Linked DNA regions of Diceros bicornis minor. The main gene of each other region encodes a partner of the protein of the gene in region 2 in a complex. Links are inferred from orthologs where the notes say so. Each region holds a gene or a part of one and is shown on either strand. Other genes may lie near its edges.

What was found.
Region 1: the proteins of TOMM5 (region 2) and VDAC2 are in contact, whole or in part, in a cryo-EM structure (PDB 9EII), measured with the Homo sapiens proteins. The link is inferred for Diceros bicornis minor from reciprocal best matches to the Homo sapiens genes TOMM5 and VDAC2. Residues at the interface, in NP_001001790.1 of Homo sapiens: Ile25, Arg29, Leu32, Ile33, Ala36, Arg39, Val40, Phe43, Ile44, Lys47; in NP_001171752.1 of Homo sapiens: Val38, Thr60, Gly63, Asp239, Tyr258, Gln260, Thr261, Leu262, Leu268, Leu270, Val286, Leu288.

The regions. Positions count from the first base shown.
Region 1 is NC_080745.1:31,596,667-31,608,978, forward strand, and holds the start of VDAC2 (voltage-dependent anion-selective channel protein 2), read right to left. Parts: upstream 5,328-12,312; 5' UTR 5,219-5,327; intron 5,013-5,218; 5' UTR 4,989-5,012; coding exon 4,958-4,988; intron 3,858-4,957; coding exon 3,789-3,857; intron 2,958-3,788; coding exon 2,908-2,957; intron 1-2,907. UniProt on the Homo sapiens protein: Non-selective voltage-gated ion channel that mediates the transport of anions and cations through the mitochondrion outer membrane and plasma membrane.
Region 2 is NC_080767.1:6,383,852-6,395,198, reverse strand, and holds TOMM5 (mitochondrial import receptor subunit TOM5 homolog), read right to left. Parts: upstream 4,427-11,347; 5' UTR 4,364-4,426; coding exon 4,243-4,363; intron 1,136-4,242; coding exon 1,101-1,135; 3' UTR 619-1,100; downstream 1-618.

The DNA.
Region 1 (12,312 bases), on a different chromosome or scaffold from region 2:
AATACAGGGATCAATTTGAAATGCATTATATAATCTTACATTTGTAGCAAATATAACTTGTCAATTCCCAGTTGCACACCAACTGAAAAGGAAGGCATAATATGGAGGAGGGCTTATATGAAATTTAAAATCTGCTACAGATACGCCAGAAATCTAATCTTTCAGAGCTCAGTATACAGCAGGCAATTGAAATCTTCCAAAATAAATATTACAACACTCTGAGGGTTCTGATTAACAATCTGTCTGCTAATGATGGCTATACAGTTTGGCCACCAGAAAACCAAGTCTATAGAAGATCGCTGATCTGAACTAATGAAAAAGAGAATTTCAACCTGAAATTGTGACATCTGCAGAGTGAGGCAATATCAAAAACTATATCAATAGGAGAAAAGGCCAATCATCCTTCACTTAGAAAATAGAACATTTGTGTAACTATTGCTCTACAGTGAAACAGACTCAAATCCTTAGGTTTTATATACAATCTCCTGAAATTAGATGCTTTCATTACCAGGAATTTCAAGTCAAAGCTTGGCACTCAATGTCCATATTAAAAAGTACTGGATTATGTAAGGAAGTAACACTGGATATAAAATTAGGAGTCCTGGCATCCAGTTCTGGCTGTCATTTACTAAATGATTAACACTAAGGAAGACAGTTAACTTTTCTGGGTCTCAGTTTCCTCAACTGTAATAACAAAACCTACCTGTCGTGGAGGATTAAATCGGAATGACAATGTGAAAGCTTTGCACATTTTCATGTGCTCTACACAAAAGGAAAGCATTATTAAAACAATATACATAAAATATGAATGGGGAATATGTATGAGTAGCTATTTTTAATCCTGAGTGACACTGATTAATGACACCTCAGGACCCACCCACTGCCATCCATCAGCCCAGAGATTGAGAGCCAGAGTATATAGATGTCAAGGAATTCTCAAGACGCAAAACCAAAAAGATCACACTGTGAGACCAGAATTGGGCTAGATGACACCACTGGTGGAGCTTACACTGTTCACTCCATCACCAGACATTTACGCTTCTACATTCTGGGGTGGCCTGGACATACAGTTCAGGTGAGAAAACAGAACCAGCCATTAATGGGACTTATTTGGGGCCAGGTACATATTACAAGATTATGGTACTTCAAAGCATCATGCTGGTTCAATTAGTCATGTGCCACATAACAACGTTTCAGTCAACACATATATGACAGACCACATATACGATGGTGGTCCCACAAGATTAGTACCATATAGCCTAGGCATGCAGTAGGCTATACCATCTAGGTTTGTGTAAGTACACTCGATGATGTTCGCACAACGATAAAACCAGCTAACGATACATTTCTCAGAACGTATCCTTGTCGCTACGTGACACATGACTGCACTTACATTAAATGGAAACAAAAACATGCTTTATCTAATCCAGCTCCTATACATGCTTCATGATCTTAAACCTAATTCCATAAAGCTTTCCTTAACCCTGTCCACAATAAGCCTTTCTTTTCCAAGAAAGATTTTGATTTATCAAACAACCTAGTACTAGATATACTTCTTTGATTGTTCCCCAGTTTAAAGTTTATTTTATCTCTCCAACCAGCAAGTAAGGTTTTTAAACACAAGGATTGAGTGTTTTTTTCTTTTGGAAGGCCTTTTGTGTTTCAATAGATTACACAACAAGTGTTTACAAGGCATCTCAACAGGTCAAGAGTGGGAACACAAAAAACAATCACTAAGTCACTGCTCTGTAGCCTGTTACCTTTAGCAAATGTCACTCAATCACACTGAATATTCAGGCTTCCTTTCAGATCAAATAAACCAAATGACAGATGTGACCAATATAAAACCCCAGAAATCCAAGTCTAGGCATTAAGAAACGACAACATGATTAATTTTAATAAATACCAGCTATATACACTAAAGGAATTAACAACTACAGCAAGAATTTATCAAAATAACAAATATTCAATATGCACACTATACCCATCCTCAAAAAAAAAACTTAGACAAAGAAAAAAAACTACACAAAATTACTTTACTCTCTTTGAGGGCATTTGTTAGGCAGAATCAAGACATGCAAATACCAAAATATTACCTCTTTAAAAATACTCAAATGAGGACTCTCTAAATTCACAAAATACATGGGGAAATCTTCCCCAAGGATGGCTGCTAGAATCTGACCATTATATAAACGATTGGTACACTCAAATTAAGAGTTATTGAATATTTTTATGCCCAGAACTCTTAATGGTTTTAATAGGCATTAAAAGAAAGGGTTACCAAAAAATCCAACAGGCTCCCTGCCATCAAGCTTGTAATTTTACTGAGTAAACAGAGTCCCACATGGCCAGTGTCTTTCCCGAATTCCTTGTGCATACATAGTAAACCACAAGAAAATCAGAAATCATATCCAGGGCCAGCCCCGTGGCTTAGCGGTTAAGTGCGCGCGCTCCGCTACTGGCGGCCCGGGTTCGGGTCCCGGACGCGCAGCAACGCACTGCTTCTCCGGCCATGCTGAGGCCGCGTCCCACATACAGCAACTAGAAGGATGTGCAACTATGACATACAACTATCTACTGGGGCTTTGGGGAAAAAAAAGGAGGAGGATTGGCAATAGATGTTAGCTCAGAGCCGGTGTTCCTCAGCAAAAAGAGGAGGATTACCATGGATGTTAGCTCAGGGCTGATCTTCCTCACAAAAAAAAAAAAAGAAAGAAAGAAAGAAAGAAAAAAAGAAATCATATCCAAAGCCAAAATAAATCAAGTTACATGCAAATCCCTTAAAACAAAATTAACTTCTGCCTCTTCTTTAAGATAAAATGGGTAGACATCTTTCAGTTATGACTATTTTATAGGTTGAATACTACATAAAGGCTCATCAGAACTTATGAAATATCTAACACTCACCACGCCACTGCATGACTTTGTTTTCACATCCAGCTTCACCAACCCAAAACCTTAAAGAAGAGAGCAAAAGATAACAAAATGATTCTTTCACATGAAAGATGCAAACCAAGAGCTGACTACACACATAAAAAAGTAGTCAGCTCTTGGTTGAGCTGACTCAAAAAAGATTTCACATATTCAGAAGGGGATAAAAATGTATGTTGATACACAGTATTAAAATGAAAAAATTTTAAATTATTCTATGCAAACTGACAGGTAAAGGACAGAACCACTCTACGCAGCTTTGCATAGTGTTTTGGTGTATATATGGCACCAAAAAAAAAATGCTTTCAAACCATTTTAAAACCTAAATACCAGATCAGAGAATCAATTCAACTTAAATCTCAGAATAGCCAATAGTTTATTATAATACAAACATTTAGAACATTTATCCCAAAGGGATATCTCTCTTTGGGATTAAAAAATCTAAATAATTGGGGAAATAATCTAAAGGGCGGGAGTGGAAAAAAATCTTCAAGACAACCCAAATTCAATGACAAAGCACATAACCCATTAGGAGTCACCACCACAAAAGCAAAATACAGTAATATATCCTAATTCTAGTCAACCACGGCATAAGCTATAACTGAAGGAAATGAAAACACAGTTGTTTTTTTTCCTAAAGATAAAATCCTTAAACTAGAGTTTGAAAAAATTGGAGGAAACTGGGGTAGAAGGGGATGTGGATTGTTACAAAACTATTTTAACAGAAATTTTATCTAAAATTTATCTAAAAGAAGAATACAATAAAATATTTACAATTTTAATTACTAATTTAATTTCCCTAAGAAATCCAAACACATTTTCACTTCTGATCTAAAATTTTTTTAAAAAGTTCTTACCAAATCCTTTGTTGAAAATATCTCTGGCAGCTTTGCCAAGGTCAGCGTATGAGGGAGGAACACACATTGCTGGTGGGAAGAAACATTCCAGTGTTAATGTTGCAGTTCTCCCACTTTCTGTCCAAGAACTAGATTATGACCCACTGCTATCTTTAAATTCAAGCAGTCTAACCTGTTGAAGATGTGTTTTTGACACCACCAGGAGCTACAATAAAACTGTATTCTAATGATCCACGAAGGACATATCACCAACAAAGGCTTATTTCTAAAATGGATAACCACAGTAAGTGGCTATACGAACTCGGGAAATTCTCTACAAAATAGAAAAACAGACTTCCTATTCCTAACTATACACAGTGCCTACAGCCTCAACGCCTAGGACTGGACTAGTACAAAGATGCAAACATATACACACATATATATCTATACATACAGATATATCCGCCAAAATTCACTGGAACGGGCTGATTTACCCAAACGAGATGAAATCAAAACCTAACACAAGGCCCTCTCCCCCAATATATCCCTTAGTATCCTCACTGAGGTCAAAACCAACATTCTGGAGTGGGAAGAGAAAGCTAATTTACACTATGGGAATTTAAATATTGAAACTTAGGGAAAAAAGGGCCATCTATGTTTCACTCAAGTGTCTACATCAACTAACTATCCAACGGCACTTTAAACATACTAATATGACACTCAAGTCCTCGGCCAATGCTGTGTGGCTTAAGGGCAAGCAATCTGATCTACTTACACTAGCTCATTCATTCTACAAAGCACGTCCACGCCCTTAGGAGCACATGTAATGACCTTGCGCTCTCTCAGAGGAGTTACTACTTCCTCTAGAAAAGTGACTGATCCAATCCTCCAAAGGCTGAATCCAACAAATAACTTTCTGCTTTTGAGTTGGTCAAAGACACGTCCAAAAACTGAAAGTGAATGCAGCCACAGACCAACTCCCCTGGCCTAGGCCTCTTATCCGAAATCCAGCAGCCCAGCCCCTCCTCCGCAGAGACGGGGGGAGTCAGGACCGAGGAGTGGCTACCGAAAGGGGCGAATGTCCAAGTCCTTGGAGAGATGGGGGGAAAGAAGCTGCGGTTTTCTGGTCCACAGGCTTCGACTCCCCGGACACCGCCACCCCAGCCCGCAGAGATCCCTTCTCCACTTACGCCGCGGGCAGCTCTGTCCGTAGGTCGTCATGGCGAGGCCGCGGGAAGAAGTGATCTGCCGGAGAGAAAATAAGTGCGGTCAGCGGGGGTGAGGGGCGGGTCAAGAGGCCAGAAAGGGGTCTCAAACAGAGAAAGGCGAGGGGCCGCGGGGCAGCGCGGCCATCTTAGGGAGCCAGGGCCGACCCCGAGTCCGGCTCAAGCCTCCTGCTTAGCCGCCGAGGCCTAGACTCCCAGGTCGGAGTGAGGCGGGCGCGGCGGTACCTGCTGGTCTCCTGAGAAGAACCGCCGCCGCCGCTCCGTTCGCAGCTAAGACCGCTCGGCTCGCTCGGGGTCGCGCTGCAGCTGCCGCGGCTGGAGGGCGAAGTGAAGGAGACACCGTTCCGCCCGCCGCAACCCTATCCTCCCCCCGCCAGGACCCCGCCGCTGCCCCCGGGGCTGTCCGCCGCGCCTGTCTCCGCAGCGCCACCCGCTGCCCACTCCAACCCGCTCCGGAACGGCCTCGTGGGCCGAGAGCACCTCCGCCCCCGGAGTGGACCGCCTCCGTCCGTCGGCGGGGGCCGGAAAGGCAGAAGCTGCTGGACCTCGGGTCAGGCAACGATGAGGGCAGCCCCAGAGGCGAGGGGGCGGGGAACGGCAGAGGCAACGCGGCGGGGATGGCACGGGCGGGGGATGGGGCGGAGGCCCCGCGCGCGCTCGTCACGGGCGGGCGGGGCGTCAGGCGCGTGCCCGCGCGGAGCCCTGCGAGGCTGGGCGTGGCTGCGCACCCCGCAAGTCACGTACATCTCTCGACTATGTTTCTCGACTGTGGTTCTCTGAAGCTGCCGAGGCCGTCTGCCATATAGATCGTCTGGAAGGAAGTAGCTGAGCCTTACTCCCGTTTACCCTAGGCAAGTGCGACGTGCGCTTCTGAAAGACCGTCTCTCTGTCCAGGCCCAGGGAGAAACGAGTGGGGCACAGGGTCACCACTTCCAGTCCCTCGCGCCCTCCCTTCCTTCGTCTGTTTCCCGCGGCGGTGTAATCGCCATGCTGAGCGGGACTCCGCCTGAGAGGCTCTGTTGGCCTCGGCATGCCGGTCCCTGAACAAACGTGAGCACATCTCAAGGTGCCCCGCCCCTCCCATCCCACCCTCCGTCCGTGCTTAGGGTTCCTCTTCTGCCGCCTTCTGCCCGCTTAGGGATGGAACTGCTTTGCACATGCACAGAACCCACGCTGTCTTGGTGAGTCAAGCCTGCTAGAAAATTTAGGAATCATGCTGACCAGGCATTAGAATGCTGCACTCAAGTTCCTGGGTGTACAGGAAGAGGGAGCCAAGGGAACAGAAAAAAAGCCTAACGAGCTAGAAATGGGGTCACTCGAGGCTCCGGAATCAATCGCCCATCTTAGCAATTTATCCCCTTTGTACCCCAGTTTCCTTATCTATAAAATGACAGGTTTAAATCAAATGAAGTGGTCTTTAATAGCCATCAGCCACAGACTATGAGCAAAGACTTTTTCCCCCTGATTTCCTCTGGCTCTGAAAGCCACCTCTGGTCAAATGCTGCCAAGGTTCCACCCTTCTCCTGTACCAGGAAAAGCATAGCTAGATAGGCTTCCACAATCCAAAACCGGATTAAAGCTGCAGCCTGATAGATATCCCTCCCATGAGCAAACCCAGCCAGCAATCTTGCCTGGTCATGGTTGGGATTACTCATGTAAAGGGTTAGAAGAAGAGAGGAGTCTTTGCTCCTAACAGTTCAGGCACCAAAAGCACTGATTAATTCTTTCATTCAAGCTCAGACAGGTTGGTCTGAAATCAGCTTTGCTCCACTGGGAGCTGGTCTGCTCTGGCTCTGTTTGATGCTGTTGTGAGGCTAATAGCAGAGACTGACTTCCCATTCCAACTGCAGCATAACACACCACCTCCCAGAAGAACCTAGTCTCTGCTCAGTCACTTCCATTACCTGCAGTAAGGCTTATTCACATTGTGAACTATCTGTAGCATTTTTAACCTCCAGAAAATTTCACTTTGTACAGAACACTGATCTGAGGCTTCACCCTCTACAAACCCAAGGAATGTACACAATACCTAATAACCAGGAGAAGAAACACGGCAATTTACTTCAAAGTTGGATTCAGTAAATGTATCTGAGTGCTTACCTCCAAAGCCCTTTAGACCAAAGCAGCATTAGTAGCAGCCACCACTTACAGAGCAACTACCTTGTGTCACCCACAGGGAAAGCAAAGTCCATTCAGACGCAGCTCCTGCTCTCAAGCACTTAAAGTCATGTGTATATAGGTGTCAAGAACTGTGAAGGGTCTAAGATTTTACCCTACTTACAAGCTAGCAAGTTAGCTTGCCATAGGTTCATAAGTTTATAGATGCTGGCTGAAGACATGAGACTCGAAGGTCAGAGACAAAAGACTTCGTTACTTGTGGCACAGCAGGCAGCATAAGCTTAATGGTGGAATCAGTTCCACTTGCCTTCTACGTCCCACAGGAGTGATGCAGAGCACCTAGGTAGAAGCTGTGCACACCATGTATTTATGTCACAGTTCAGGAATCCTGACCTTAGGAAACCCCCTGCTTATAAGGAGCTGCTAAAAAACCTGCCCAACCTTTGCCCCAGAGGGAGACATTACAGTGTACTTCTCAGGAAATTAAATCTTGCCTCTGCCCTAGAAGGAGACACTACCTCTATTTCCAAAGGCTGTTTGCTATGCAAACATCCTTGTAAAAGTATATTGCCACAGAGGACTGTGGGCACAGTCAGGCTGAGGAGACGCTTGCACTAAAGTTTCAAAGTAGGACTTATCAAAATTAAAAAGCCCTAAGGTCAAAGATGGAAACGCAAAATTCTAGAAAGAGGTATGTGCAAAGCCATATGGGGGCTTGAAGTGACAAGAATCATTTGGAAACCACAAGTAAGTAAAGCTGGAAAAACCTGTAGAAAAAGTTGAGAGATTAGTGTAAAGATGTTGGCTGGAGCTAAATACTGAAGGTCCTAAAAACAGTGAATGAGGAGGAGTCTAGGGTGGCTGGGAGCAACATTTCTGGCTTGAGCAACTGGGAGGACAAAGGTTCTACTCACTGTCGGAAGGGCTACAGGAAGAGGGACAGGTGTGAGAGTAAAGAGGATGATTCAATTTCGGATAAGTATGAGGAGCCAGGGGCCACATCTAAATGGAGTTGTCCAGTAGGCAATTATGAAGCCTAGGAGAAAGGTCTGGGTAAGAGGCTAAAAGAAAACTCAGGAGGGAGTGTTTTCCTGGAAGCCAAAGGGGAGAGCAGTGGGGAGGAAGGAGCACTCAACAGTGTCACATCCTGAGGAGCACTCAAGTGAGGTAAAGACAGAGTATTAGTTACTATTACTGTGTAACAAATTACCCCAAAACTTAGTAGCTTAAAACAACAAACATTTTATTATCTGGAAGCTTCTGTGGGTCAGAAATTAGGGAATGGCTTAGTTGGGTGGTTCTGGCTCAGGGCCTCTCATGAGGTTGCAGTCAAGATGTTGGCTGGGGCTACAGTCTTTTAAAGGCTTGACTGTGCTGAAGGATCCACCTCCAAGATGGCTCCCTCATGTGGCTATTGGGAAGAGGCCTCAGGTCCTCATCATGTGGATCTCTCCATAGGGCTGCTTGAGTGTCCTCATGACACGGCAGCTGCTTCTCCCAGAGCAAGTGATTCGAGAGAGAGAGAGAGAGAGAGAGAGACTGAAGGCGCAATGTCTTATATGATCCAGCCTCAGGAATCACACTGTCATTTCTGCCTTATTCTCTTTGTTAGAAGTCAGTTACTAAGACTAGTCCACACTCAAGGGAAGAGCAATTAGGCTCCACCTTTTGAAAGGAGTGTCAAAGGATTTGTGGACATATTTTAAATCACCACAGTCGATCCTCTGGTCACATTATTTCTATTTCTCCTAAACAGAAAATACACTGATTCCCTCCCAAGACTTCCCCAAAACCTCCAGCCTTTATAGCATCAGCAAGAGGCCTCTCAGGTGTAGTTCCTTAAGTGCAGCAACTCCAGTACAGTTCCTCTTGATTTGAAGACCTATGAAGTAAAGAGAGAAGCTGTCTGCCCCCTACACACACATCTAACACACACAGAGTGGGATAGGCACAGGATAACTGCTAAAGACACCCCTGGTCAAAAAGAGGGAAACAGGAGATACACAGGAGTCCACAACAGTTCTGAAATCCAGCCAGACAAATTTTGAAGATGCCTTTATTAGGACTCAGTCCTACTCCTGTCTGTGCCAGATGAGGTCACATGGGGAGAGCCAGCTCTAGATACACATTCCTTCTCTTCCTGCCCCAGGCTCTGTCCTTCAGTGTGAGGAATACACCCCAGCCCACACATCCAAGCTCCATCCCGCCTCACATACATATGCTCCTTGACTATCCCATGGGCTTAGGGGTGTGTCACTGGCAGTTCAATCCATGCTCAGAAGAAAGGGCTCTGGAGAAGTCCATGCAGGCCCCAGAATGAGGCTCAGGACTGTTTCAACTGGGAAGACTGAGATCTTCTGTATCCAGAGTTTGGTCCAGATAAGGAAAGGGTGGGCATGGGCTTTGGTGGGCATGTTCCCTTGGCCCTGCAGACTCCTCACCCCATAGGAAAAGGCACAATGTGAGAAGGGTTAGAGTGAGTCACTCTAAAGTATGAGGCCCAGGGTGGGGGCCCCTCTTGCCCAGGTCTAATATTAGGGTTAGGGACTGGGAATCTTCATGCAATGGAAACAAACATTGAGATGAGAAGAGAGAGTGAGAGAAAGAAAGAAGACTGTAAGCTGTGGTTACGGTTAGAATGCGGGACGTTGGGATGTAAGATTTAGCAGCGGAGCATTCTGGGTCGTGGAAGTGAAGTTCACTGGAGTTGAGATGGTCAAGGATGATGGGTGAGGCTTAGTTGTTGGAGGCATCTGCCCCACACATATCCAATGCACAATGGTGGGATAGGCTCAGGTTGTTGGCAGGGAAACTGAAGTCACCAGGATGTTGCCAGGATAAGAGGTAGAGAGGAAAACTATGAGTTAAGTGCCAAAGTCCTCAGGGAGCATGGGAAACTGGTTATAAAGGATGACAAGTAGAGGATGGTAGAACTGATGGCATGAACCTCAAAGGAGGTGATTTTATAGGAGGGTGGAGGAGTGAAGAAAGTGGCCACCCGTCCCATGCCCAGGTCCAGCCCTAGGGTTGGGGAGGGCGTGGGAGAATGAGCAGTATTCCCTGGGACCCAATATCCAGGGGAAAAGGTAGTTTTATGAGGAGAGTGAAAGAGCATTCAGTGGTGAAGCTGAGGACTTAGGGTAGTTTGTTTACAATAGAACAATGTTCTAGAGGGCACTGTGGGATGGGGTGGCAGGGAGGGCAGCAGTGGGAGGACAGACGAGGAAGCAGGAAGCACAGACAGGACTGGGATGAAAACTAAGGCCAGGGACTTAAAAAATTTTGGGGAGTTAGGACCTACAGTTGAGGGTGAGGGGCATCCTAGGATTAACTGAGCTTGAAAGTCAAGCCAGTACCTGTGAAAAATCACTGAAATTGCACAAAAAGGACAGTGTGCCTGGTTTTGTGCATACAACTTTGGGCTGTCATTCATAGACACACTAAAGCATGAAAACCACTGATCTAGACTGTCTATCAAATCCCAGCAGTGACTAGGGGAAAGGAGGAGCATTCTATAGCTTTCCAGATTACATGCAGCGTGGACTCCATTTTGATTTAGTATTTAATATAAGATGTGATGATTAAAGCAAGGGGTGGAGTTACAGCTTAACAGTCAGGACACAAATTAAGTGCAAGCTTCATGCAGTTTCTGTCAATTGATATTCCAGTGTAGTGATTCTGGGTTGATGTAGAGACTGATATAAAGCTGTTTATTATCCAGTCAGCAACCTGTGGTCTTGCTCAGAGTTCCAATCTTGCTCAGAGTTCCAATTACACTGGTGAACCCTGTGTGTATTGTTCACACTGATGTTACAGTGATGATTGCAAAAGCTCACACCTTCCTCTATGGAAAAGCTTAGCCCAAAGTAACAGGGAAAAGGCACAGAGAATCCTGCTTCAGAGACTTCAGTGGCTCCCCTTTACCTATAGGATAAGGTCCCTGATATAAGGAAGATGGACCATGGTCCTACTCTGCCTTCCATCAGTCATGGTTCCCACCAGCCACGTGTGCTAATTCAGGTCACAGACTGTTCCCAAATCATGGTGTTTTTAGTGTCATTGCCTTTGTTTACGCTTCTTGTTCCACCTAGAATGCTTCCTTGTTCCCACTGCTTTGAGTTAAACCACCTGAATCCTTTTAAAGCCGAACTCAAATGTATTCTCACCACACCACAGTTTTTTCTCTGACTTACCAGCTACAGGTTCATTTTACTTTCTCTAAATTTCTATGGCATTTGTTACTTTACGGCATTTATTACATATTTTCCCATTATTTTATTATGAAAATTTTCAAGCATACAGAATAGTTGAAAGAATTGTATAATGAACACCTATATATCTACTACCTAGATTCCACAACTACCATTTTGCTGTATTTACTTTATCCCATGTCTATCCATTTATCCATTCATCAATTCCTCTTACCTTTTTTATACATTTCAAAGTCAGTTGCAGACATCAGTACACTTCACCCCTAAAGACTTCAGCATGCATATCATTACCTAGAGTTCAATATTTGTTTACAGTTCTTTTGTTTCAAAGTAAAATTTACCTCCATATCATGTTTTCAAAAAAATACTTGTACCTTCTGTCTTCCCAATCACACTCTTTTTTTTTTTTTTTGTGAGGAAGATCAGCCTTGAGCTAACATCCATGCCAATCCTCCTTTTTTTTTTTTGGCTGAGGAACACTGGCCCTGGGCTAACATCGGTGTCCATTTTCCTCCATCTTTATATGGGATGCCGCCACAGCATGGCCTGACAAGCGGTGCATCGGTGTGCGCCCGGGCGCCAGCAGTGGAGCGCGCGCACTTAACCGCTGTGCCGGGGCTGGCTCCATGATCAAACTCTTTAATGGTGAGAACGATTTCTTATACAACTTTATCCCCACCCACTGACCCATCCAATATCTAATAGTGATGACATTAGTAATGATAAACACACTCAAAATAATCAGGGCTAACATGTATCAGGCACTTGCTTTGTGCCAGGCATTGCTCTAAATATTTAGTATGCTTTATTTGATTCTTATATAATATACTATAAAGATACTTGTTATACCTGTTATAGATAAGAAATATGAGCTTACAGAGGTGAGGTAACTGGCCCAGGATGCATAGCTAGTTCTGTAAGTGGTGGAGACAAAACTGAAACCCAGCTCTGTCTGAGTCTGGATCATATGCTCTTAACCACCATTCACAT
Region 2 (11,347 bases):
AAACTAAGCCTAGAAAAAACAAAGGACATACAGGAAAAGAAAACACAAACAGCATTTGGAGCCCTAATGAAATCGATCTAAATCAAAATCACACTAACAAGTACACTGGAAGGAAGAAGAAATCAGAAGAGATGTGTGAGTGATGGAGGCAAGGAGAGGAAAGACATCTAAACCCTTACATGCATGGAGAATTCAGTGGGCAATGTCTAAAACGGAAAAATCATACGGTAACAATAAAATCATGTTATTTAGAGACATGCAGGTGAATACCTATAATTAGCTAATAAGAGGTGAAGGTAGTTGTCTCTGGGAAGAAGGTTAAGGACTGTCCCCATTCCCCAATAAACCTGGAGAACTATCTGACTTAAAAATATAGCATTTTCCCCTTTAGCAGTATTACATATTCTCAGCATCAAGCAGTAACGTTGCCTTTCACAAAGACTGCTTAAGAATAAAACAATGTTGCTTTATCGGGATTAGCAAATTCTCCAGCCCAAAACAAGAGGAACTCAATTGAACGCAGTTTGTAATAATCCCAGCATTATAGTAGTCTCACTAGTGATTGCTGCTTTGCAGGAAAAGGTGGGTTAAGAAAAATAAAAACCCAATTTTTCTTAATTGGCATGTTTATTAAAAATATAGACTAACGGTCTTGTGCTTAAATGTCACCGTGGTTGTGTGCTGGCTTCCATAAAACCTAACTAATCATAAGAACTCTTCAACAAATATACTCCAGACAGAAGTAAAAAGGTAAACAGAAATGACTGACAAGACAGTGCCATTGCAGACATAATTCCCTTATAATTAATACTTGCTAGAAAATGGAGTTTGACATTATTTACAATTACACCAACATTCATGGACGCTGAATATCACAGGCATAAGGGTATACTATGACCATAAAACGTCATTTCAAACTTCCCAAACAGTTTTATATTTCGGTATGAAGGTCAGTTACTAGAGCCAAACTTGTTCTTAACTAGTAGAATTTTTATGTCCAAAGAGGCTCTCACATCTTTCTGGAACTATTCATTTGCAGATAGCAGTAGAAACCATCAGCAGGTTCTTCATATCATGCATTCACATGTGATGCCCAATCTTCACATGCTGTCCAATTTCTTTAAGATGAAAGGAGCTGAAAGAAAAATAAATAAACCCAGAATTTGTTTTCAGATCTGTTAGCCCACAAGTTACATTATGGAATTATAAGATTGGGGGGTAAACCCTACAGGTTTAGTTCAACACATTTTTGAAAACAACTCCAAGTGATGGCCAAGACTCCGGCTGCATAACCCAGCAAAAGGGACTCATTCTGTCAAGGGGGCCCATTCCAGTGTCAGGCAGCTATGATTATTATAAGGTTCATTTTTACAAAAGATTTTACTTTTCTCCAGGTAGTTCTACCTCCCAGGGCCATAAAGAGTAAATCCAATTTAAATCTTTCAAATGACAGTCCTTTACTTTGGTGATTTAACTGTCAAAGGAACAAAACTGTAGAAAAAACAAATTGGCATTTTTCACCTTTAAAAATACATTTGAAAGAAGGCAGAGGATGCAGGAAAACAACACTGAACTAGGGAACCAGAAGAGCAGGACACACATTTTGATTCTCCCACTGATCACCTATGTATCACATATGACACAGTCCAACTTCAGTTGTTATAAGAGTCCATCAGGATGGTGTAGACACAAATGTCTAGAAAACTATGAAGTGTTGTCATAGGGATCTGAAGAAGTGATATTACTGTAGCCTGTGTAAAAGTGCGGCCAAAATAAGCATATAAAAAGATACTCAACATCATTAATCATTAGAGCAATGCAAATTAAAACTACAATGAGATACCACCTCACATCCACTAGGATGGCTAGCATCAAAAAAACTGTTGGCAAGGATGCAGAGAAATTGGAACCTTTGCATACTGTTGGTGGGAATGTATAACTGCTATGAAACACAGTATGGTGGTTCCTCAAAAAATTAAAAATAGAGGTATTTGTACATCCATGTTCATAGCAGCATTATTCACAGTAGCTCAAAGAAGCAACCCAAGTGTCCAAAGACGAATGAATGAATAAGCAAAACTGAGGTATACAATAGTAGCATTCAGCCTTCAAAAGGAAGGAGATTCTGACATATGTTACAACGTGGACGAATCTTAGGACATTATGCTAAGCAAAATAAGTCAGTTACAAAAAGACAAATACTGTATGATTCCACTTATGAGATATTTAGAGTGGTCAAAATCACAGAGACAGAAAGTAGAATGGTGGTTGCCAGGGACTGGGAGGATGGGGGAATGGAGAGTTATTGTTTAATGGGTATAGAGTTTCAGTTTTACAAGATGAAAAGAGTTCTGGAGATGGATGGTGGGTGATGGTTGTATATTATGAATGTATTTACTACCACTACACTGTACACTTAAAAATAGTTAAGATGGTAAATTTTATGTTGTGTATTTTACCACAATAGAAAAAAAAATTGGAAACAAAAGGGCTGTGACCAAAAAAGCTGCCAGAATGATCTTCTTTCTCAATACACATAATTAATAAAACATTTTATTAATATTAAACTGAAGATATTGAGATCTGCTGGAAGCTGACAAAGTCATGTCCAGTCTTTCCACTAATTCTTATCAGAGAAAAAAGGAACATCCATCAAATGAATAGATAAACAAAATGGGGTATATCCATACAATGGAATATTATTCAGCAATAAAAGGAAGGAAATATTGATACATGATACAATACACATGAACCTTGAAAACATTATGCTAAGTGAAATAAGCCAGACACAAAAGGTCTCATATTGTACAATTCCATTCATATGAAATGTCCATAATAGGGAAACCCACAAAGGCAAAGAGATTAGAGGTTGCCAAGGGCTGGAGAAGGGGGAAAATGGAGAATGACAGCTAATGGGTATTGTGTTTCTTTCAGGGGGAAAGAAATGTTCTAAAAAGATTGTGGTGATGGCTGCACAACTCTGACTATACTAAGAACCACTGAATTGTATACTTTAAATGGGTGAATTGTATACTAATATGCTAATTATATCTCAATTTAAAAAGTGATAATAATGAACAGTATTCTGTGTTTTTGTTTAAACCAATTCATATCTAATACAAGGGTCACTGATAAGAACTAAATATTTTACTGGCAGCTAAGTCAACAAAATACGGTAAGAGGAAGAAGAAATAAGTGAATTTGGGAGTTGTAAAAAGCTGCTGAAGGAGCAGGATTATTTGGGAGTTTCTGTTCACCAGCGCTCCCTCTCCTGGGGAAGCAGAGTAATACCACAGACAGTGGAAGAGGCACGGAGCTAGGGAGACCGGGCCTCAGGGAGCTCCGGCCTAGCCCAACATGAGCCTTCTACAGGATGACCTTGGTATGGCCTTCATTTATTTGAATCATCCCGGACTCTCCATCCAGACGTGCCAACAGTATACAGCAAGAAGCAATGAAAAGAATACTAAACTGAAAATAAGGTGCGGGGCAAATCACTTCTGAGATTCTTATCAGTACAACTAGAGAACTATCTACAAAGCAGCATCCAGCTCTAATATCCAGTGTGCCTGTAACTCTGACACCTTGCATAAGTCTCCTCTGAAAGCCGAGTTCTCACTTACAAAGGGGATATACAGAATCTCAGGCCCGGCCTCCCTCAAAGGGCTACTATCAAGACTAGGAAATGCAACTAAAATCAAATAAACCCTCAGGTATCATCAGTACTCCTACAGACTTTTCTTCTCATGCTTTCCAAAAAAGCAATTATTTACTTCACCCTCTGTACAAATAAACAAAGGCAGCAAAACCTTTTGGATTTCAAAGGTCAGCACTGAAGGAAGGAAACTCGATTGAGTTGAGAGTTCTGGGTTCTAGGTCAAGATCATTCACTGAACCGCCGAGTGACCTTGAGCCAGCCATTTGTCTACTCTAGACCTGTTCCTATGCGAAACGCGGGAGCTGCTCTGGGGGACATCCCTGGAGGCTCTCTCGACTCTAAGCCCTTAGGGCAGGGGGGCGGGGTGATCAGCTGCGCAGTCGGGGCCAGCGCGCGCACGTGGGCAGCCCCACCGAGGCCCGCAGCACTAAGCCGCGCACACACCCGCCGCCCGCGACGCGCACCGCCCTGCTTCCCGCGGCCGCTGCGCTCAGCTCAAGGCCGCAGAGGCCTGCAGGATCAGCGCGGGGCAGAGGCGGCGAGCTCCCAGCGGGTCCCACGGCCAGAGCTGGAAGGACACTCACTGACTCGCAGCAGGGCCACGTAGATGAGGAAGTTCCGTATGGAGGAGATCACGTCCTCGCGCATCTTCCGTTTCATCTCCTCCGGGTCCAGCTTCGGCGCGAGGCCCTCGATCCGGAACATCGCAGATCTGCCTGACGGGCTTCCAAGAGCGGCGCTCTGCTCTCCCCAGCCGCCGCCTCGCGCCCGGAACTCGGCCCAACCCCATTTCCTGTCCCCGCCTCTCGTTTTCGCGCGCGGCGACGGGAGGCTGCGAGGGCCAAACCTCGTCCGTCTCGAGCGGTTCTGAAGGAGCGCGGCCTGAAGGGGGCGGACGCGACCTTAGCGATGCAGGACCTAGAGGCTTCCTCTAGGCTGTTGGGTTAATAACCTCGGTCTTGAGCCGGGCGCGCTACGCTGCACAGTTTCTGCGCCTCGCGGGGAGCGGTGCGCATAGGTACCATCATAAATAATAATAGCTAACATTTATTGAGTACTCAGTAGAATTCTACCCCATGAATTAGATATTATAATCATTTCTTAGATGAGAAAACTGAAGCACAGAGATCTTTAAAACAACTTGCCCAAATGTGTTATAAAATACCTCAGGAAAAAAGAAGTGTTGAGGAAGAGAGATGAAACGATATTAGCAAACTTTTTAAAGTGGCTTAAGCCGGTGATTGGCACGTCATTTTAGTTAATTATTCTAATATTTCTATTTTGAGTGTATTTGAACTTCTTCATGCTAGATTAAAACAAAAAGACGAAAGATATTTCCCCAAGTTTCGAAGGTGAGGAAACTTCCTCAATATTACACGACTAGTAAATGCGGAGCAGGGTTTTATACCTAGTTAGACCTGCGGGATCGCAGACACGGAGTTTTTAACGTTTTCCGTATTATTACTGCATTCTTATTTCTGGAGTTAACTGATCCTTACAAGTTATAATACTGGCTCAATAATATAGTATATATTAATCAAGTCCAGATCTATTGAACATTTTCCAGATGAGGAGAGGGAGGCTAGGAACCTGGTGTGCTGCTTCAAGTCATCCTGCTAGTGATGGGCAGGGGCAGGGTTCTAATGCAGATAACCATAATGTCAAGGTACAGTCTTTTTCCTCTGCGTGCTACTTGCTCCTCCGTTAGTCTTCAACAGTTAATGCCTGCTTGGATGGGCAGCCCTGGAGTCAGAGGCAGGAGCTGAACACAACCAGATTTTCTGTCACAGAATCATCAAAACAGTGTTAGAAGGCTGCTGCCCCAAACTATGCATGCCAATTAGCCGTAAATAATTCTTAGACATAAACCAGATGACTGAAGTGTTCACATAATTCAAAACCAGAATGTTCCTTCTTGACTGCACATTGCATAGCAACAATGGATTTTGGATAAATTAGAACAGTAATTTACTATGGGAGCAACTGATAACTGTAAGCATTGATGCCCTCCTTCCAGATTGACAGAATGTAACACATTGAGGCAAGAGAGGGAACTCCCTGTGCATTCAAGCTTTAGTTAACCTCCTGCATCTACAATTCATGCAGTGGAATAGCCGAGGCATCTCTGGAATGGGAGGGGCTGACTCCCAAGAAATAGCCTCCATCCAGTCCTTCCAGAGTGTTTAGAAAGTCTGCACTGATGCTGGAAAGCAGCAGGGGCTGTGGAAAGAACCTGGACAGGAAGACTGAAGACATGGCTCTAGATCTGGCACTGCTGCTGTCTAGCCATGTGACGAGGGACAAGTCTGTTTCACTGCAACTCCTTTTCTTTAGTTGTAAAGGGAGGAGATATGGTGAAATACTCTTGAGAGTCCCTTTCAGTTCTAACAGTCTATGCATTCGAATTCTAATTGTATCATCTAGGACACTCTGGTCCGGAGTGTATGGAGATTAAAATATTATCAAATGTGGTCAGACATCAAAACAGCTAGTGCATGTGTTTTTCCTTGGTAGGAAGAGTGTAGCTGTGAGGCATATCTCTTCCACCTGAATAGTGAGGTGAAGCGGATTGGCAAGGAATGAGTTCTTATGTGATGCCAGTAACTTAGATCCTTAATGCTGACTGAGTTTAGATGAACAGTTTTCATGGAACTACCAATTTTTTTTTTCTTTACTGAGACGTTTTTGAGTAACTTGCCTAGATTCATCAGGAACCAGAGAGAGGAGAAATTAGCATAAAATCATGTTTCTTGGTGAAAGAACAGATTTTTAGCATTTGAATTTTATTCATCCAATGCTATATGAAAACCTACTTACTTGATAGATGATGTGGCTGTAAATGGCTGATTTGTTACAGGGCAGCGTTACCCTTAGAAAGGTCTGGTGCTTGCCAATTGTAGAGGGACAGGAAAGCAGTGGACGGACACATGGCGCAGCTGTGTCTTGGGACGAGGAATGGGTTCTGGATGCAGTTAGGAGGGTGAACTGTTCCTGTCTCAGACATGTTCTTCCTGATGAACTCTGTCTTCCCCTTGCGTGGGTCCTCTCGTGGTAATGCAGGAAACATTCGAAGAGGTTAGGCTACTGTGTTTTTTTTTTTAGTAGCTTTTGGTTTTTTTCTGTGTTGGTTTGGTTTTTTCCGGCATGTAGGTGATGGTATTGTCCAGTTATGGTTGGTTTCTGTGAGGCAAAATGAGAGAACATACTTCAGGAAGTTAACACTGGAGTGAGCTGTTTCTGGTCTTGGACCCCTGATTTTCTTCCTCATTGGAATGATGAGGGTTCCGTCTAATCTTTAAAATCACTTGCAGCTCTAAAGTGCTGAAATTCTGCATTCATCTTTCCTGTTCTTCCTTCACTACCTTGCACTAAAGGCTAAAAACAAAGAATTCCCTGTGATTAGCCATGAAAGGCGAAAATAAAAAGTATGCACACATAATTTAATATTGATATTTGTATTATTAAGTCTAATCACAGAGGAAATGATAGCAGATGTCATAGCCTGTCTTGTTTTCCATTTCTATCCCGAGAGGAATTAGGAGGCATTTCCTTTGACTCAACTTCCCAGACAGTGCTGCGCACAAGCATTCAGTGTGTACAACCTACCCACAAGAGAAGGAGTGTTTTAATTTCCATCACTGGGGAGGAATTTGTGTTTGCAAGGTCAGAGATTGACAGATGACTCATGATTGGGGAATAATTCAAACATATGATCCCAGGAACCTTGTGATTTCTAATTTATAGGGAATATGTAGGCTTTGTGTGTTGAACAGTTTAATCCCTTCATTTGACAGATGAGGAAACTGAGGCCCAGAGGGAAGCTAGTTAGAGGAAGAGCTAGCTGGAACTAGGGTAGTTCTCTGGGCTCCCAGTTCAGCACTTTTTCCCATCATACCTTGCAGCTTTCGATGCTTTGCAAATATTCTCGTTGACAATCCCCTCCTCAGGAACAAGGATTGGAAGAATGGGGTGCTGTTCAGCCCCAGTTTGGGAGGGACAGCATAAGGGGTGACTGCTATTCATCAACAGGCTGAGGGCAGCCCTTCTCTCCATGTTTCCACACCCATCACAGTAGTTAATCTGGATGGTGTTGTTCTCCAGCTCCACACCTCTCTTTCCACATTCCTTCAGGAGATGAACATGGTCTGGATTCGCAAAACAAGCTTGGCTTTGAAGTCCACTCAGGACCCAAGACGGATGAAGCAAAGGTCAGGACAAGGAAAGCACACTTGGGCCCTCAGTAAGGGTTGCTGTGTGATGAATGCTAACCGGAGTCCTCCCCCAGCACATGGGGATAACACTTCTAGAAATTACTGCCCTGCAAGAGGCATCTTCAGAAAGAGGGGCCTTTTGAACCTTAAAGGATGAGTAGAATTTTGATAACCTTCACCTCACTGGCATTGGCTTTCTATAATACCCTGTTCTCTGTTCTAATTTTTAGGTCTGGATGATTAAGGAAGGTTTGATCTCTTTCCAAGTAGATCATAAGCACCTCAAGTACAAGGAACACGTACTTTAATCTTCCAAACAGTTGGGGACAGGCATTTATACATGGTAAAAACTCAGTAAGTACCCCTTGAGTGAATGAATGAATGAATGAAATTCATATCTGCTAACCTTTAGAATTAAAAAATTGATAGCTTTGTATGTTGGATTGAAAGGAAATTGTCCACAAAAGAAATGTACCCAAAATTCTATATAATATTTTTATTTCTCACTATTTTAGTATGACTTGTTTTTGTTTGGCTGAATAAAAATCATTTAAATAATTTTAATGTATTGTAAGCAAAGTTAAAGAATGAACTTTAAAATTTACTCTAATTTATTTTTAGCAATATATCAAAGCCATATTATAATTTTAATAACTTCTTTTTTCACAAAAGTATGTTTATTACTATAAAATTTAGCAAATATAGAATTAGAGAAAAATAACAATCCCCGTAATCCCGCAACCACTATTGACATTGGTCATAATCCTTTCAGCCTTTCTTCTTCTATCATATACGTATATAGCTCTCTCTCTCTCTGTTTCTCTTTATACATGTGTGTGTACGTATATGTACATATAAATGTGTATACACACACACACCCCCATTTACATATGTATTTTTTTTTTGGAGGAAGATTAACTCTGAGCTAACATCTGTTGCCAATCCTCCTCTTTGTTGCTGAGGAAGATTGGCCCTGGGCTAACATCTGTGCCCATCTTCCTCCACTTTATATGGGATGCCGCCACAGCATGGTTTGGTAAGCGGTGCGTAGGTCCGCGCCCGGCATCTGAATCTATGAACCCCAGGGTGCCGAAGCTGAGCGCACGAACCCAACTGCCATGCCACCGGGCTGGCCCCTACATATGTATTTTTTTACAAAAATGGATCATGTAGTATATGCTAATTTAACTTGCATTTTCCATTCAAGTTATATTGACTATCTTCCTATATATTTAAATATTTTTCTAAACATCATTAATGATGGCTGTCTGGTATTCTTTATACGGATGTACCATAATTTATTTAATTAAGCTCTACCTTTGAGCATTTAGGTTGCTTCCTATTTTCCCTATAAATAATACTCCAAGTAATATGCTTATAACACTATCTTTGTGCAGCCTTAAAAAGTTCTCTGGTCATTATAATTATTACCTTAAATTCAGAGTTCTCAGTTTTTCCCAGTGATTCTCTTTTTTCTGAGGTAAAAAGGACTTTCTGGCCAAGAGTGTAGGTGTCGGATCTCTAGACTTCTGGTAATTACAAATAAGGGATGGGGAATTTTGTTTGTTTTTAAAAGAAGTTTGCTTCCTTGTGCTATAAATTCTTATTATTTTTCAGCAGGAAAAGAAAAATGTACTCAAGGGCTCAGTTTGCATTGACGTTATTTAGACCACATCATGATTACCAGCCATCTCCCTGCAGAGGTAAAGAGGCGATTCTCCCGCCACTCCTACCCTACTCGCATTACACAAAACACGTGTATATGTTATAGAAATGTGCCTATCCAGGCGGATATAGTTTCTTGCTTTTTAATAAAAATGCAGTGCCTGTCATATAATAGGTGCTCAGTTAATGTTTATCAAGTGATAGAAAAAGATGGAAGGAAAGAAAGAATCTTTCACTGATTCAGTGATCACAGATCTACCTTCTGTGCTGTTCGACTTGCTCTCACACCTTGTGGGGAGCCCTTGGAGAAAGCAGGAAGTGAGCTCCTTTTCCCAACCTATGCAGGACATACAGATGAGGCTATAGTATCCATTCTCCACACCCTGCCCCCAGCATTTTCAGGATGACACCTGCCTGATCAAAGCCAATCAGTAGATACCCACACGCATATTTTCACGTCTTAGGAAAAAAACAGTTTCCTAAAGGTAGAAATACATTTTGTTCTTGCATATCAAAGTTGAATTGCTGGGGCGGGCCCAGTGGCATAGTGGTTAAGTTCGCGTGCTGCACTTCGGTGGCCTGGGGTTCACGGGTTCGGATCTCAGGCACAGACCTACACACTGCTCATCAAGCATGCTGTGGCGATGTCCCACATAGAAAATAGAGGAAGACTGGCACAAATGTTAGCTCAGCAACAATCTTCCTCAAGCAAAAAGAGGAAGATTGGCAACAGATATTAGCTCAGGGGCAATCTTCCTCACCAAAAAAAAAGTTGAATTGCTATATATTGTTTGTACAAACTGTGAATGAAGGAACATGCCATCTTCCCATTACATAATATTTAGACTCCATTTGGGGAGGATAAAGGTCAGGCCTTAATATGTGAAGCCTTATCCTAACCATTTTCTCCAGAGAGTCTCAAAATCTCAGGTCTGGAATGGCCTGAAAGGCCCTCCAAGCTTTCTCTAATGCCTGGCCTCCACCTCTAACATCCCTGCTTTTGCTTGAGCATCTCCGGTGATGGAGAGCTCACCATTTTCCTGGGCAGCTCCATCCGTCTTTGGATAGGCAGTTCTTCCTCTTCTTCTTCTTCTTTTTTTTTTTTTTGAGGAAGATTGGTCCTGAGCTAACACTTGTTGCCAAGCTTCCTCCTTTTTTTTTCCCTTTTTTCTCCCCAAAACCCCAGTAGATAGTTGTATGTCATAGTTGTACATCCTTCTAGTTGCTCTTTGCAGGATGCCACCTCAGCATGGCTTGATGAGCGGTGCGTGGGTCCGCGCTCAGGATCCGAACTGACGAATCCCGGGCCTCCGAAGCAGAGCCTGCGAACTTAACCGCTACACTACCAAGCCGGCCCCCTGGCAATTCTTCTTATTAGAGCCAAAATCTGCCTCTCTACACCATATTCTCACTGGTCCCAGTAATGTCCTCCAGAGTGTCAAAAGCAAGTCTGATCCTTGTTCCTCATGGATGTGTAAAGGCAGCTTGGGTCTTCCTTGATGCTTGTTGACGCTCCAGGCTAAAATTAACGTTGCAAAATTCTCTTAACATTTTCCAGTGTTCCTTTATCCAAACCTTAACTTTTCTCGTTAGCAATGATGGACTGATTTACTCTGAGCTATCTGGCCCTATGTCCCCCAACCCCCCAACCAAGGGGGACCTACTGGGTGCCTGAGAAGGACCTCTGGAATTCAAAGCCAGAGACTCTTTATTCACTACTCAGAGATGGTCCCTGAACAGAAGTATGTGCCTGGGCTGTCTGTCTCTTCCCTCAGGTCTCACAGTGGTGGGTGGAATTCCCTGACCAGCCATT